Linked DNA regions of Diceros bicornis minor. The protein of the gene in region 2 interacts with the protein of the main gene of each other region in a pairwise test. Links are inferred from orthologs where the notes say so. Each region holds a gene or a part of one and is shown on either strand. Other genes may lie near its edges.

Region 1 (7,395 bases), on a different chromosome or scaffold from region 2:
TATGGAAGTGGCCAGAATCAAACAATGTGATCACATTAGACATTCCACCTGGTCTGAACGGTAGGACAAAGGAGGGTTGTTTTTAAATGGCTTCCCACCCCAGTGGCATTGAGATGATGAGAGAGACCCATATGTAAATATGTACTAGCTTGACCAACATCTCTCTAGGGCAAAGACCATTTTTATACTTTGGGATGTCCTCAGGGCCTGATATCACTCAGATCCATAGTATTTCCTCTGTAAGTATCTTCTACTATGGTTGATACACTTCACAGACATGATTCTTCATCTTCCAAGGTAGATAAGAGAAACTTTGATTGATATAAAATGGAATATATCTAAAGAAAACTTAGAGCAAATTAGCAATCATAAACTCTCTTTAAGAGTGCACAACCATATCTGTATTCTCCAATATTTTTATGCTGAAGTTAACCACCTGAAGTACTTAAATCCATCAATCTAAATAAGATTTTAACATCATTTAGAGAAGAACAAAGTAGCTTATAAATGTATAAAATGAACAAGAAATCACATAAACGTTGACCCAAACTGAATGATTATTAATTCTATGATTTAAAATTTTAAGGACATCTAGAGTTGGGACTTGGAATATGAAGGCACCATGAGATTATGAAAAACAAAGCATACCCATTTCTTACCCACTTTCCAAACTTGTAAATGTTAGAAAAGTAATGAAACGTGAGACTAGCAATTTAAAGTATTCTTCGGTATAGCAATTTAAAGACTAGCAATTTAAAGTATTCTTCGGTATAGGAAGGAAACCCTAACTCTAACTGGCAGATTTTAGACATTTATTTCTACTTAAGACATTTAGATGATACACCTATTTAGGAAGCAAACAAACAAAATAAAACCAAACTCTTCTAAATTGAACTACAAGAATAATATAAAATAAAACAATCTTACAGCATTTACAGTATAGTGAATTCTCTGTTAGTATGTAAAATATTTTGAAAGACTATTTTGGTTTTCATATTAAAGGGATTTTTTTCCCCCTGTGACCATCTGCTAAAAAGAGAAAGAATCAAAATAAGATGGCAAAACTTTTAATGTCAATACAACCACAGCTAATAGCAAGATTCACTAGTCATTTCTATGACTGTTCTAAATATATACTTTGTTTTCTACTTCCAGTTGTCAAATTTGTCATTAAAGTAGCCACTAACTCATGATACATCTGGCAAATTTATATCCTTTTAGATTTTTTTTTTGCTGTGATTGAAATATATTTTAGAGCTTTAATAGGATAATCGCACTCACTTGCCAAATCAGTTGAATATTACCTTAAATCCCTATAGATACTCCTGGATTTAAGATGGCTTTATATATTAAGCCATTGAAAAGTTGATTTTTGGTAGAAAAACTTCATATTGTGAATAAAATAGAAAATGTAAAGTGATAGCTAAATTTAGGCAGAAATGGAACAAAATTTATTTTTGCTTATGGGAGTTTTAGTATACTGTTTTAATAAGCACCTATGTGAAAAGAAATGCAAACCATGTAATCCAATGACTTCAGGCAATTTTTAAAGAGAACGCTTAGAACTATCTTGAAGAAAAATAATAGCGCTTTCGAACGGTGACGGGTTTAAAAGCTGATTTGTCCAGTTTGCTAGATAAACATGGGATAAAAGCGCTCCCAGCCTGGCCTCGGATACTCTGTCATGTTTTGTTGCTCTAGTTCTGTATTTGTTTATTGCCACCGTGTGTCTTCAAGGCAGCTGTTTAATCTTCACAACACTTGGATTCACTTCACACTTCTAAATAAAATTCTTAATTTGCTAGCCTACTTGGGAGACTCTCTGGCATTGCCCCATCATGACTGAGCGGGAAAGGGACTAGGTAAACCAGTGAGCATGGAGAAAGGCCAGAGCCTGCATTAGCCAGCCAAGACGTCTCAGAGTGACGGGACTCCATCTCCGTCCCCGTAACAAATTTGAAAGTAAAATACAGCAACTCAACTACTTGAAAAGGACACTGTGACAGCACAGATAGAACTGCAGGAGACATGCATCAAGCATTTAAACTATGAGTTTCTAACTCTGTCTTAGCTAAGTATTTTACCTGGGCTTTGGGTAAGTAGCAGATTAAATTTTCTTTCATTATATTCCCTCTAGCATAGGGCAAATAATTAGTCAAGGTAATAACAACAACAGTAATCAGCAGCAGCAAAAAACCAAAAACAAAATTATAGACACACAAATCTTACCTCAAACTAGGAAAAAACACAAAAAGTAAGAAACCTGAGCAAGCCACAATTTTGTCCTTTTTTGTACTCTGAACCAGGGTTGGAGAGGGACAGGAAAGGTTTAAGCTCAGAGCTCTTGGGATGCAGAGCATTGCTGAAGCAACAGAGACCGAAAGACACTTTCTACTTCTCAGAGAAGATGAGTCTTCCTTGGCATCAGGGGAAGAAACCAGTTTTCTTCTGAGTTGGATGACAGAGCAGTTGATTCAGTTTAAGGTCAAAGAAGAGCCGAACCAGAAATTAAGCCTCATAATGGGCACAAAGCACAGTGAAGTCAGCACAAAAAGAGGGACACAGAAGAGACAACAGGCTTGACACGAATAATCATGCAACTAACAAATGTTGAGACCTGCCAACTTGGGGCCACTCCCTGAGCCTTAAGCCAGGTTATAGGAACTGCCAGCCGTGATCTGGGGAAGGACACTTGGAGACAGCATGGGAAAACCTAACGATTTTCCAGAGCAGATAATTCACCAGGAGAGAGATTTAAACAGCTTTGAGGACCCCAAACATGGACTAAAAGGATAAATATTTTACACTTTTATTTTTCAAACAATAACTAGGAAACAAAAGGAATCGAGGAATTTTATCAGTGGAGGGAAACTTATGGGCAGGGACCTGAGGTTCAGAGTTGTGAAATAACTCTCCTAATAGCACCCAGCTAGTTACATGGGAGTGCCCACTCCCTGCTCCCTGTGCTTCCAGGCCAGGAAGGGTGGTGGAGTCAACACAGCCTGAGGAGAGTGTCCACGTGGGGCCTTCGGAGCTGGGGAAACACTCCAGGAGACAACAGAAGCCGGCAGGTTCTTTTTTGGGGAAGACTTATAAGGGGTTACAGCTTATGCTAGAGGCAATAAATGCCTGGGGACCCAGGTCCGTCAGGTGGAAACTGCCCAGAGAATCATGTTGGGGTTGAGGCATCTTCAGGAAGAGACACAAGTTGCTCAACAAAGTTACAAAACAGAACAGCAGCACCAGATTCCTTACTTCTCTCACTGTTGCCTTCTCTCCCTGAATGACGCTAGAAATAGATGGAGCCAAGTCCCAAACACGATCCCAGAGGAAAGAGGCACCTCAGAAGAGAGAGCTCCTGAGGGCCGCTGCTGGGTTTTTGATACTTAATAACGCCATCGACAAGCGAAGATTAGGTCAGGAAGCCTCAGACGGTCCAACAGCCCCGACTCCCCAGTAGCTGCCCAAAGACAATGGGCAGGAGAGCTTTGGGAGAGACTTGCTGAGGTCTTCTGGAGACCTTAGCAGGCTAGCACAGTGGAGACACGGGGCTGGACGTTTAAAGGAACTGGAGAATGGTGTGCTAGCTAGAGAGGTGGGGTGCAGGAAAGGAGCCAGCGAGAGCTTTTCCTAAAATCCCGCCTCAGCTACAAAAGTGCGCTGGCCGAGGCTGTGGGTATTAGGGTGTGGAGATGCCCCGGCTTCTCCTCGCCCCAATTTGATGAATCAGGGAGAACACCCGAAGGTGGGAGAGTTTGTCCAGGGTAGGGGCAGCGTCCGGTGCCAAGGATCCACCGGTATGGTTTGCAGGGAGCGGAGAGGGGGACATGAGCTGGGGCATCGCCTGGAAAGCAGACAGGGAGGATGGGGACATTTTTAACTTCACCTTAGAGGTAGCACAACTTTTAAAGGGATGCCCGGCAGAGTCATACCGGCTTCCCACTCAGGTCACGGTTAAAAGACAAGAGAAGAGTTAGCTAAAAGCCTCGGGAAGAAAGTTTGCTTGGTTGCACCCCATTTCTGCAGAATTCTTGCTTGAACTCGAAAGAGTTTGGTCAAATCAGGATGAAATTTCTGGGGCACGGGGGAAACAAGCTCAAATTGTTCCCTCCCAACCCAGACGCCCCTTACCTTGGGGAAGGGCGGCCGGCTCCGGGTGGGCGCCGACCGGAACTGCGCTCGCCCTCTCCTTGGTCCCCGGGCGCCTCCCAGCACAGCGCCCGAGTCGGGACACCTGGACGTGCAACTGACCGCGCCGCCCCGCAGCCCCCGGCCGGGCCCGGCAGCGGGCGCCGACTCACCCGCGCTCGGGGCGCTGCGCCCACGTCGGGCCGCGAGCTGGCGGCGCTAGTGCCGGGGCTTCCGCGCGCCGCCTCGGCGTCCGGCCGTGCGCCCTCACTCCCGGGGTCCGCTCGGGTTGGGCCGCATCAATCGCCGCCCCCGCCTGGCAGAGCTGCTAGCCGTGCGCCCGCCCAGGCGCTCTGTGGCCCACCGCCCGGGCGTCTGGCTGACAGGCGCTGGAATCCTCCGCGACGAAGCAGCTCCAAATTTATAGCGAGGGGCGTTGCTGCTCCGTAGGTTCCAGGGGCGACGCTCTGTTTTGCATTCCCTCCTCCTCCGCCCCGCCCCGGGAGACCCTCGCGGCCCAACCGTCTCCCTCTCCAGATGCTGACGGAAGCGGGGTGATGCCACAGTCATCCCCAATGTCACGCATCAGACCTGCGCTCACCTGATTCGTAGCTCCGCATCCAGGAGGGGTCGCGAAACGGAGAGAGCTGGGGCTACAGGAGAAGCAGTTCTCGCCGAGAGGAATGTTCCTTGACTTTTTTTTTAAACTTGGAAAACTTTTTAAGGACGAATTAGGGAACTTCTGTCTCTTTCCTGTGAGTAACTCAAACTTGGACGATACCGTTGTGGATCATAGATCCCATAGATTAATTTCAGGGTTACAGATTGAACGGGTGAGCATGCCTTTCCTCCTATGGGACATACTATCACAGTTGCATTTTTTGTTTTTGGTGAGGAAGATTGGCCCTGAGCTAACATCCATTGCCAATCTTCCTCTTTTTGCTCAGAAAGATTAGCCCTGAGCTAACATCTGTGCTCATCTTCCTCTATTTTGTATGTGGGATGCGACCACAGCATGGCTGGATGAGCTGTGTGTAGGTCGCCTGCCCAGGTCTGAACCCATGAACCCCCTGGTGGTGAAATAGAGCGGGCGAACTTAGCCACTACGCCACCAGGCTGGCCCCCAAGACTGAGTGTTTTTGCATCTAAGATCAGGAGCAAGAGAAGGATGTCAGCTCTCTCCATTTCTATTCCATACTGTGCTGGAGGTTCTAGCCAGGGCAATCCGGCAAGAAAAAGAAATAAAACGTATCCAGATTAGAAAGGAAGTAAAACTATTTCTATGTGCAGATGACATCGTCATGTGTTTAGACAATCCTAAGGCATCAATTGAAAAACTATTAGAGCTAATAAGTGAGTTCAGCAAAGTTTCAGGATATAAGATCAGTATACAAAATCAGTTTTATTTCTATACACCAGCATTGAACATTAAAAAAATGAGATTAAGAAAAAATTACATTTACCATAGAGCAAAAAAATCATATACTCTAGAATAAATTTAACAAAAAGGGTGTAAAACTTGTGCTCTGAAAACCGGAGAACATTGAGGAAAGAAATTAAATTAGACCTAAACAAATGGAATGACACTTCATGTTCATGGATTGGAAGACAATGTCATTAAAATGTCAACAATCTCCAAATAATATACAGATTAAACATGATCCCTATCAAAATCTCAACAAACTGTTTTTGAAGAAATTAACAAGGTGAGCCTAAAATTCATATGGAAGTGCAAGGGACCCAGAATAGCCCAAACAATCCTGAAAAAGAAGAGCAAAGTTGGAAGACTCACACTTCCCAATTTCAAAATGTACTACAAAGCTATAATAACCAAGACAGCGTGTTACTTGCATAAAGATAGATATATAGGTCAATGGAATAGAATGGAGTCCAGAAATTAAATCAGCACATATGGTCAATTGATTTTTAACAAGGGTGCCAAGATAATTCGATGGGGGAACGAATAGTCTTTTCAACAAATTGTACTGGAACAACTGGATATCCACATGCAAAAGAATGAAGTTGGACCCCTTATAATACCATACACAAAAATTTACTCAAAATGGATCATAGACCTAGATAAAAGAGGTAAAATTAGAAAACAGTAGAAAACATCGGAGTAAATCTTTGTGACCTGGGGTTATGCAAAGTCTTCTTAGATATGACACCAAAAGCTTAAGCAACACAAGAAAAATAGATAAATTGGGTTTCACCAATCTTAAAAACTTCTGTGCTTTAAAGAAGAGCATCAAGAAAGTTAAAAGACAACCCACAGAATTGGAGAAAATACTTGCAAATCATATATCTGATAAGGATACGTCCTGAACATATAAAGAACTTTTCCCAACCGATATCAAAAGCACAAATAACCCAATTAAAAAGTGGGCAAAGGATCTGAATAGAAATTTCTCCAGAGAAGGTGGACAAATGGCCAATAAGCACATGAAAATATGCTCAACATCATTAGACATCAGGGAAATGCAAATCAAAACCACACCGCGATGTCACCTCATACGTACTAGGATAGCTGTAATCAAAAAGTCAGATAGGGCCGGCCTGGTGGCACAAGCGGTTAAGTGCATGCACTCCACCGTGGCGGTGCGCCGCTTGGCAAGCCATGCTGTGGCAGCGTCCTATATAAAGCAGAGGAAGATGGGCACGGATGTTAGCCCAGGGCCAGTCTTCCTCAGCAAAAAAAGAGGAAGATTGGCAGATGTTAACACAGGGCTGATCTTCCTCAAAAAAAAAAAAAAAGTCAGATAATAACAAGTGTGGGTGAGGATGTGGAGCCGTTAGAGCCCTCATACACTGTTGGTGGGGATGCAAAATGGTGCAGCGACTTTGGAAAACACTTTGGCAGTTCCTCAAAACGTTAAGCATAGAGTTACCATATGGCAACATATTTTTTGAATTCTCACAAAATTAAAAATACCAGCTTTACTAAAATGTAATCAAATGTGTAGTAAGCAAAAGTTTCTGCAGGAGAACTTGTCGGGAATGCAAAGTGGAGGCAGACATGGCCCTAGAGCCCTGGCTGTGCTAACCCAGGAGGGAGGCACATCCCCTTCCCCACTTGGTTGTGCCTCTGGGTCAGGGCCTGTCTCATTTCACTGATGTGCTGGGTGCCTGACACATGGCAAGAATCCCCACAAATGCAAACAAATCACTGATATAAGACTGACTTTGATGCCATACAAGCCATGTATCTTGGAACAAATGTTGCTTAAGATGGATCTTGAAGGATGGATAGGATTTTTGAACTAGGGA
Region 2 (7,395 bases):
TTCCCTGATCATTATGAAATGGAGTAACTTTCATATGTTTAATAGACATTTGTATTTCTTTTTTATTAATTACTTTTCATACCCTTTACCCATTTTCCTATTGAGTTGTTCATCTCTATCTTATGAGTTTGTAGGAACTCTTTGTATGTGTGGGAAATTATTCTTGATTGTTATATGTGTTGCAAGAGGTTTCTTCCAATTTGTCTTTTTATTTTACTTGTTATTTTTTAATCTCAGTCTTTTTGAAATAAGGTGTTGTGATTAAGGGCACAGACTCTGGAGCTAGACTGGTGGGTTCAAACACTAGCTTTGCCTCTTGCTAGTCATGTGAGCCAGCAAGTTACTCAACTGTGCCTCCACTTCTTCATCTGCAAAGAGCAGATAATCATAGAACCTTAACTCATAGGGTTGTGAGGACAAAATGAACTGATGTTTGTCAAGTGCTTAGAACAATGTTTGGCACATGGTAAATACTATAAAGTGTTAGTTGTTATTATTATAGCCCTGGGGTTTGATATACTCCGAGGCTTTTCCTAACCTCCCAGAGTATAAAAATATTCTCCTGTATTTTCTCCTAATACTTGCATAGTTTTACTCTGTGCATTTAGATCTTTAACCCATCTGGAATTTATTTTGTTTAAGGTATGACATAGAGGTATAACTTTTTTTTTTCCCCAAACATAGCTGATTGTCCCAACCCTATTTAGTGAATCTGCCATTATTTCTCTATTGACTCGAAATGCTACCACGTGGATCTGTATCTGGACTCTATTCTGTTTCATTGCTCTGTTTAGTATTATTGCACCAATAACACAATTTTAATTACTGTAACATAAATTATCTTATCTGGTAAGACAAATGCGTGCTATACTCTTATTTTTCAAAAATTTCCTGGCTATACTTGAAAGTTGATTCTTCTGATTATGTTTAGAATCAAGTTCCTCCCAAAAAAGTCTCGTTGTTATTTTATTTTATTTTATTTTATTTATTTATTTATTGTGAGGAAGATCAGCCCTGAGCTAACATCCATGCTAATCCTCCTCTTTTTGCTGAGGAAGACAGGCTCTGAGCTAACATCTATTGCGAATCCTCCTCCTTTTTTCTCCCCAAAGCCCCAGTAGATAGTTGTATGTCATAGTTGTACATCCTTCTAGTTGCTGTATGTGGGACGCGGCCTCAGCATGGCCGGAGAAGCGGTGCATCAGTGCATGCCCAGAATCCGAACCGGGGCTGCCAGCAGCGGAGCGCGCGCTCTTAACAGCTAAGCCATGGGGCCGGCCCCTTGTTATTATTTTATATGGCGTTAAATTTATAGACAATTTGCAGAGAAATGACGTCTTTATAATGATGGTTTTTCCCACCTAGAATATGGTGTATATCTTTCCTTCTTTCTGGCCTCCTTTACTATCTTTCTAAAGTTGTCTTTATATTAGTATCTTTTAATACAGTTGTTTTCATGCCACACAGACCACTTATCTTTCAGTTCCAAAAGCAGTTTAGATATGTAGCAATACACATCTCATTACCTTCTGATCCTGACCCTTTGACAAAAGTGATTCACGAGTCGAAAAGAATCTAAAACTTGAGAGGGGTGAAGAGTGAGCTTAGAAGGTGGTGATAGAACTGAGGGGTAGGGAGGTGGCAGCTGGTGGACAAGGTGTGTGTTTGAACCTTAAAGATGATCTCAGAAACTGTCTTGTGTGCATAGAAAAGTGGAGGGAGAAGTGTGAAGTTAGTTCATTTGGGAAAGATGGGGAGTATGGGAAATGAGATGGAAGAAGAAAAAATATTTTAGCTCCTTAAGTCCAGAAATGTCCATCATCCATCACCCTCCCCAAGTCCAGTCAATTTTGCCCTAGAAATGACTCTTCAGCCTCTTCTCCCTCCCACTCTATCGTTCATCATTTCCCCTTGACTGGTTTCAGTCTACAGCAGCCTTGCCCCACTCCCTCCACCCTCCACATTGCCCAGAACTATCTTCCTAAAAGAGAAATCTCATCATGCCACTTCTTTGCTTAAAAAACCACTACTGGATCCATGTGTCCTCCTCCAGGGCAGGGCCCCAGTCTCATTCCTTCACCTGCTATACAAAATCTTTGTTTTGACTCTGTTCCAGTCTCCTCAGCCTTCTCTCTCCTGCCATCTAACCCCACAAGCACTTCAGAACAGGATGTGCCTGGCCTTTCTCTCTCTTTGGAATACCCTTTCTCAACTTCTGCCCACTATTCAGAAAGATTGTCCTCAAATGTCTCCTCCTCTGTACAGCCTGCACTCTCTCCACCCCCGCTCCAGTCAAATGCTGGTAGTTGCTTTGTCTTCTGAGTCATACCTCCATTATAGCATTCCTGGGATCATAATACCAGTTCATGTGTGTCCTCACCTATACTACGAAGGCTGGAGCCATGTTAATTAATGTCTGTGTCCCCATCGCCTACCACAGTGACTGGCACAAAATAGGCATGGATGGATGGATGGATGGGGAGGGAGGGAGGGATGGCTGGGTGGGTGGGTGGGTGGATAGATGGGGAGGGAGGGAGGGAGGGATGGGTGGATGGATGGGTATTAGTTGGAATGAGTGGATGGAGATGGGTAGTTAGAGAAATTAGAAAAGTAACCCTGCGAAGATCAAAAATAGACACCAGGGGGAGCTGACACACCACAATAAAGAAGTGGGAGGGCGATCCCAAGAAGGCTGCAAGCTCTGGGATGAGCGGGTGAGCGGCGAGCACTAAGGCAAGCACCACGCAACTAGAACCGCTCACCCACGTGTGTATCCCCTCATTCTCCTTCCCCGACTGTGCTTGAGCTCATTGCACCGCCTCCACCGCCACAGAGAAAGCAAACAAAGGGGAGGGAACCCCTGCAGGGCCCTGGATGCAGGGAGCCAATCAGAGGGCTGTAATCTTCTGGCAGGCGGGAGGCTTCGTTTAAGGGAGCCCAAGCAGTTTCTAATGGGGTGCGGAGGGACGGAGAGATGGGCGGGAAGAGCAGGGAGTAGACACAGCGCTGGCCGGGGAGAGATCCCTCGGGAAGGGTGGAGATAGAGCGCAGAGGGGGCGGGGGCGGAGCCAATCGCCGCCGGTGTCTGTGAGAAGAGGGCGGGCAGCGCCGCGGCGCGCGCGATCCGGGCTGACGCATCAGGCCCCTGTTCCCCAGGATCCGAGGGGGGGCGGGAGGGGAGGGGGAGAGGAGAAAGATCGGAGGGCGCGCGTGCGCAGTGGCGCGGGGAGGAGCAGGGACCTGGCAGCGGGCTAGGAGGCTGCAAGCGAGCCGCGAACTGGGCGGGCGGCAGGCGCGTGCACCATGGGGGAGAAACCAGGGACCAGGTAAGGCAGGTGGGGCCACGCGGCGGGACGTGGGCGGCGGCTCGGGGCGGGTGCTGGAACGGTCCCCAGACAAGGACACCGGGGAGAGAATCCGGGAGCCGGACGCCTGGGTCCCTAGGGAGCAGCCATCCGGGGCCGCACGCCTAGGTCCTCGAGGATAATGAGGGGGATGCATGCTAGGGCCCCTGCAGAAAGCGAGGGCTGAGGGGATCAGGAAGCCGGCATCTGAGTTCTCGCAGGGATGTGGGGGCCGGAGGACTGGGTTCTCCGGTGCAGGCTGCGATGCAGAGGCGGAGGAAGGAGGAGCAGGTGGCCGGTCCCAAGGGGTCGGGTATGGGCAAGCTGGATGCCGGGAGGGGGATTCCCCCCTAGACTCGTGCCGAGCCACTGAAAAGCCTCCTGTCCAATACCCCACAGGCAGTTGGGCTGCCCCCACCGTCCCGAGGGCCGGCCCCGCTTCCAAACTTCTGCCTTCCCCTGGGTTGCTAGGAACAACAGCTTCATCTTAGGGAGCAGAGTGCACGGCGACCCTCCCCGATTCTGGGCCTTACCCCTCTTCCCGGGGGTGAGGGGAGGCAGTATCTGCCCTGGGCACGCCATCCACTCCCCGGATGTTTTCTGTGCAATCGAGGCTCTTTCCTTCCACTGACAGCTCGAGTTCTCTTTTTTGGTCTCTAGCAAAATCCACTTCCTGTTGTGACCCAACACCCCTAAGGGGCCAGTGGGTGAATGCCTGAGTCCCTGGGGAGCAGGAGCAAAAGAGGAAAAGATTGGGGTTGTATGCCTCTATCCAGAGGGCATCAGGAATGGAGGCCTGGTCCTAAGCTGTCACTCGTTCTACAAAACACTATCATATCAGCACCCCCATAGAGTAGGAGAACTCAGGCTTCTAAGCACCAAGTCGACTAGTATTGGAAAGAGATGATCAGAAGGAAGATTAGTGTCCTGTATTAGAGATTAAACACCCCAGAGAAAGGGGAAGTCGCTAACTTGAGGGAGGGCCCCGATTTCCGTTATGTGGTTCAGGGAGGAGGACGGATGGACCAGAGGGGGACTGCTGACTTGGCACAATTCCCCACATCCCCATCAAATTCTGGGCCACAGGAAACGGAGAGAATAGCAGGAAGTGTGAGGGGGCACTGCTTCTGCTGCCCCCGCTCATTGGGCATCTCCCTGGTCACCCCCACACTCTGCCTCCTCAGTATACACATGCTGCTCCCCCACCCTCAGCCTGGCAGGAGGTTGGCTGGGTTAGGATCCAAAGGGCAGGTGCCCTGCAGCTGCTCCAAGGCAATTATTCCAAAGCCACACTCCGGTTGGCCAACTGACTGTAGCTGTTGCAGCCCTCTGCCAGGGCTCCTAATAGGAAGAAACACTGGGACAAAGAGGAAAACCAGAAGCAAAGAGGGAAGAGAGCTGGATGATGCCATAGCAACCAGCCCCCAAGTTGGGACAAGAGGGGGGTGCTTATTCCAGCTGCCACCATATCAACGTTTGCTCTCCTTTATTGAATGGGAATACCTGAGGACCTCCATACCCTTTGCCTTATGGCCTTTGGATAGCTTCTGGGAAGAAGGGGCAAGTGAAGTTTTTATAGCAGAAACGGCTGGTGGGATTGGAGAAGGGATGGACCAGTTGGCAGGATTTCAGTTTCTACTATCTGGGGACCCTTCCCAGGGATCAGATCACTGCCGAGCCAGAGTGGATTGGGAGTGGATTGTAAGGTGGTGCAGCAAAGAACAAGCCCACAAGTGGCCAGAGCATTGGAGTAGCTAGACACTTCACTACCATCCCAGCAATGAATGGAGTCCATGCTTAAATTGTTTCAGCAACTGGGAAGCAAATCCCCTTCAATTCAACAAACCTGATGCCAATTACAGAGGCAGAGTAGTGTAGTCAGCCGTCTGTACCTGCGGGCTCCATGTCCGCAGATTCAACCAACCGCGGATCTAAAGGCCTACAATGGTCGTGTCTGTACTGAACATGTACAGACTTTTTTTCTTATTGGCTAAACAATACAATATAAATGCTATTTACATTCTATTAGGTATTATAAGTAATCTAGAGATGATTTAAAGTATACGAGAGGATGTGCATAGGTTATATGCAAATACTACCCCATTTTATATAAGGGACTTGAGCATATGCGGATTTTGGTATCCCCAGGGGTCCTGGAACCAATCCCCTGCAGATGCCAAGGGACAACTGTATAGTGGTTTAGCGATGAATGCATGGACTTGGAGCCAGACTGCCTCTGTTTGTATGTGAATTCCACCATTTACACTGTTACCTTAGGCAAAATACTTGACCTCTCCTGTACCTTAGTTTCTTCAACTGTAAAATAGGAATATTAGGACCTCCATCATTGGGTCATTAGGAGTATTAAATTAGGTGAAACACTTCAAACAGTGCTGAGCATGGAGTATTCACCCAATAAATGTTAGCCAGCATCATCTTTGTCATATGGCTGGCATGGTGCTGGGGATGCCTAAGTGAATAAGGCCTCTGATGCTCACAGTCTGTCTAGTGAGACAGATGATACACAGCTAACTGCCCTTGTTTGCTATCACACCACAAGTAAAACATAAACAAGGTGTGACAGAAGCCCAAAAAAAGGAGTGACTAGGGTCTGGGTTGGATCTGCTTTCTAAAGGAGGTGATATCTGAGCTGGGCCTTGAAAGACAAATAGGCTTTTAAGCTGCTGAGATCAGAGATGCGGACAGTTGGAGGTTAATGGAGTAGGGTCACACTTAGGTAGTGCCTACAGTAGAGCACTTGAGAGGCAAAGGCCAGGGCCATTGCTCTTCCAAGTACTCCAGCTGTCATTGGAGCTGGAGACCAGAGAAGATGGAAAGAGGGTTAGGTCTTACACAGACATTGCTGCGACCTGCCGTTCAGGTTCCCCTGGGGGAGGTCCTTTGGGAAAAGCCTGGGTGGTTCCTGTGGCAACCAGTGGCCATTGCCATGGGAGGAGAGGAACTAGTGAGGGTGGACCAGGGAGGGGTTGCCATGGCACCCAGCTTGGAGGGGCTGCCATGTTGGAAATATTAAGGACCTGTGGTTGCCTTTCCTTCAGGAAGAAGTGGGAGGGGCTAGGGCTGGGCAAAGCCCCAAAGCCTCCAGGCAGGAATCCTGGGTGAGCTCTGTTTCTCAGGCTGGGGAGGGAGAAGGTCCTGGCGTGGGGGTCCCTGCTGAGTCTGAGGGAGGCAGTGGGGTTTCCCTTTCTGTTTTGTTAGGGTCTTCAAGAAGTCGAGCCCTAACTGCAAGGTGAGTCTCCCACAGTACTCCTCCTCCCAACCCTCCCTGGGCCCTTACAAGGCCTAGCCTGCCCCTAGACGATCCCCAACCCCTAGCTCCCCACTTCCTGTGACAGCTCAGAGCCGACTTCCTCCCCTCCTGAAGCCCCTTGCCACAAAGGCTGCTCCGCCTGAGCCAGCTACAGCGCTGGGTGGGGACAGGCCTGGGTCCCTAAGCAAGACCAACAGGGAGGAGCCAGAAGCCCATGCCTGGAGCCCTCTTAGGAGCCGCCCAGGGTGCCTGGGAACAGTTAACAGCCCCCCAGGCTATGGCCTGTTTATCCCAGAGCCCCTTGAGGGGAATGAGTGAGGCTGACAGCCTGCTCTCTAACTGGCTGCCTAGGGCTGGGTTCTCCCTGAGAACTCACACACTTGAGTGGTGGGCAGAGGTGTGAAAAGATTTTAGGGAGCAGCTAAAAAGCCTCAAAGTGGCTAAAAACCCCCACCATCCTCCCCTTCCAACCCTACTGGGAGAAAACCAGGAGAAACTCCTTCCAGATACCCCAGCCTGGGAAGACCAGGGGCAGGGCAGCCACATTTGAGGGCTCTGATGCCCTGCCACCCTCCTACCCAATCTCCCGTTACCCTCTCCATCCTCAGCTCACCGTATACTTGGGCAAGCGGGACTTTGTAGATCACCTGGACAAAGTGGATCCTGTAGGTAAGTGCCCCAGAAAGTGGCGTCACATCCCCGAAGAGGGGAAGAAGTTCCTGGGCCCAGGAATGGAGGAGAGGCCCTGACAGGAAATGAGCTCATGTGTCCCCTTCCAGA

The links. The genes of interacting proteins can lie anywhere in the genome.
Region 1: the proteins of ARRB2 (region 2) and AGTR1 interact in a two-hybrid assay, tested with the Homo sapiens proteins (2 studies listed by BioGRID and IntAct, with this or other methods). The link is inferred for Diceros bicornis minor from reciprocal best matches to the Homo sapiens genes ARRB2 and AGTR1.

The regions. Positions count from the first base shown.
Region 1 is NC_080741.1:6,215,129-6,222,523, forward strand, and holds the start of AGTR1 (type-1 angiotensin II receptor), read right to left. Parts: upstream 4,495-7,395; 5' UTR 4,132-4,494; intron 1-4,131. UniProt on the Homo sapiens protein: Receptor for angiotensin II, a vasoconstricting peptide, which acts as a key regulator of blood pressure and sodium retention by the kidney.
Region 2 is NC_080757.1:11,498,885-11,506,279, forward strand, and holds the start of ARRB2 (beta-arrestin-2), read left to right. Parts: upstream 1-3,339; 5' UTR 3,340-3,567; coding exon 3,568-3,635; intron 3,636-6,563; coding exon 6,564-6,594; intron 6,595-7,223; coding exon 7,224-7,284; intron 7,285-7,394; coding exon 7,395-7,395. UniProt on the Homo sapiens protein: Functions in regulating agonist-mediated G-protein coupled receptor (GPCR) signaling by mediating both receptor desensitization and resensitization processes.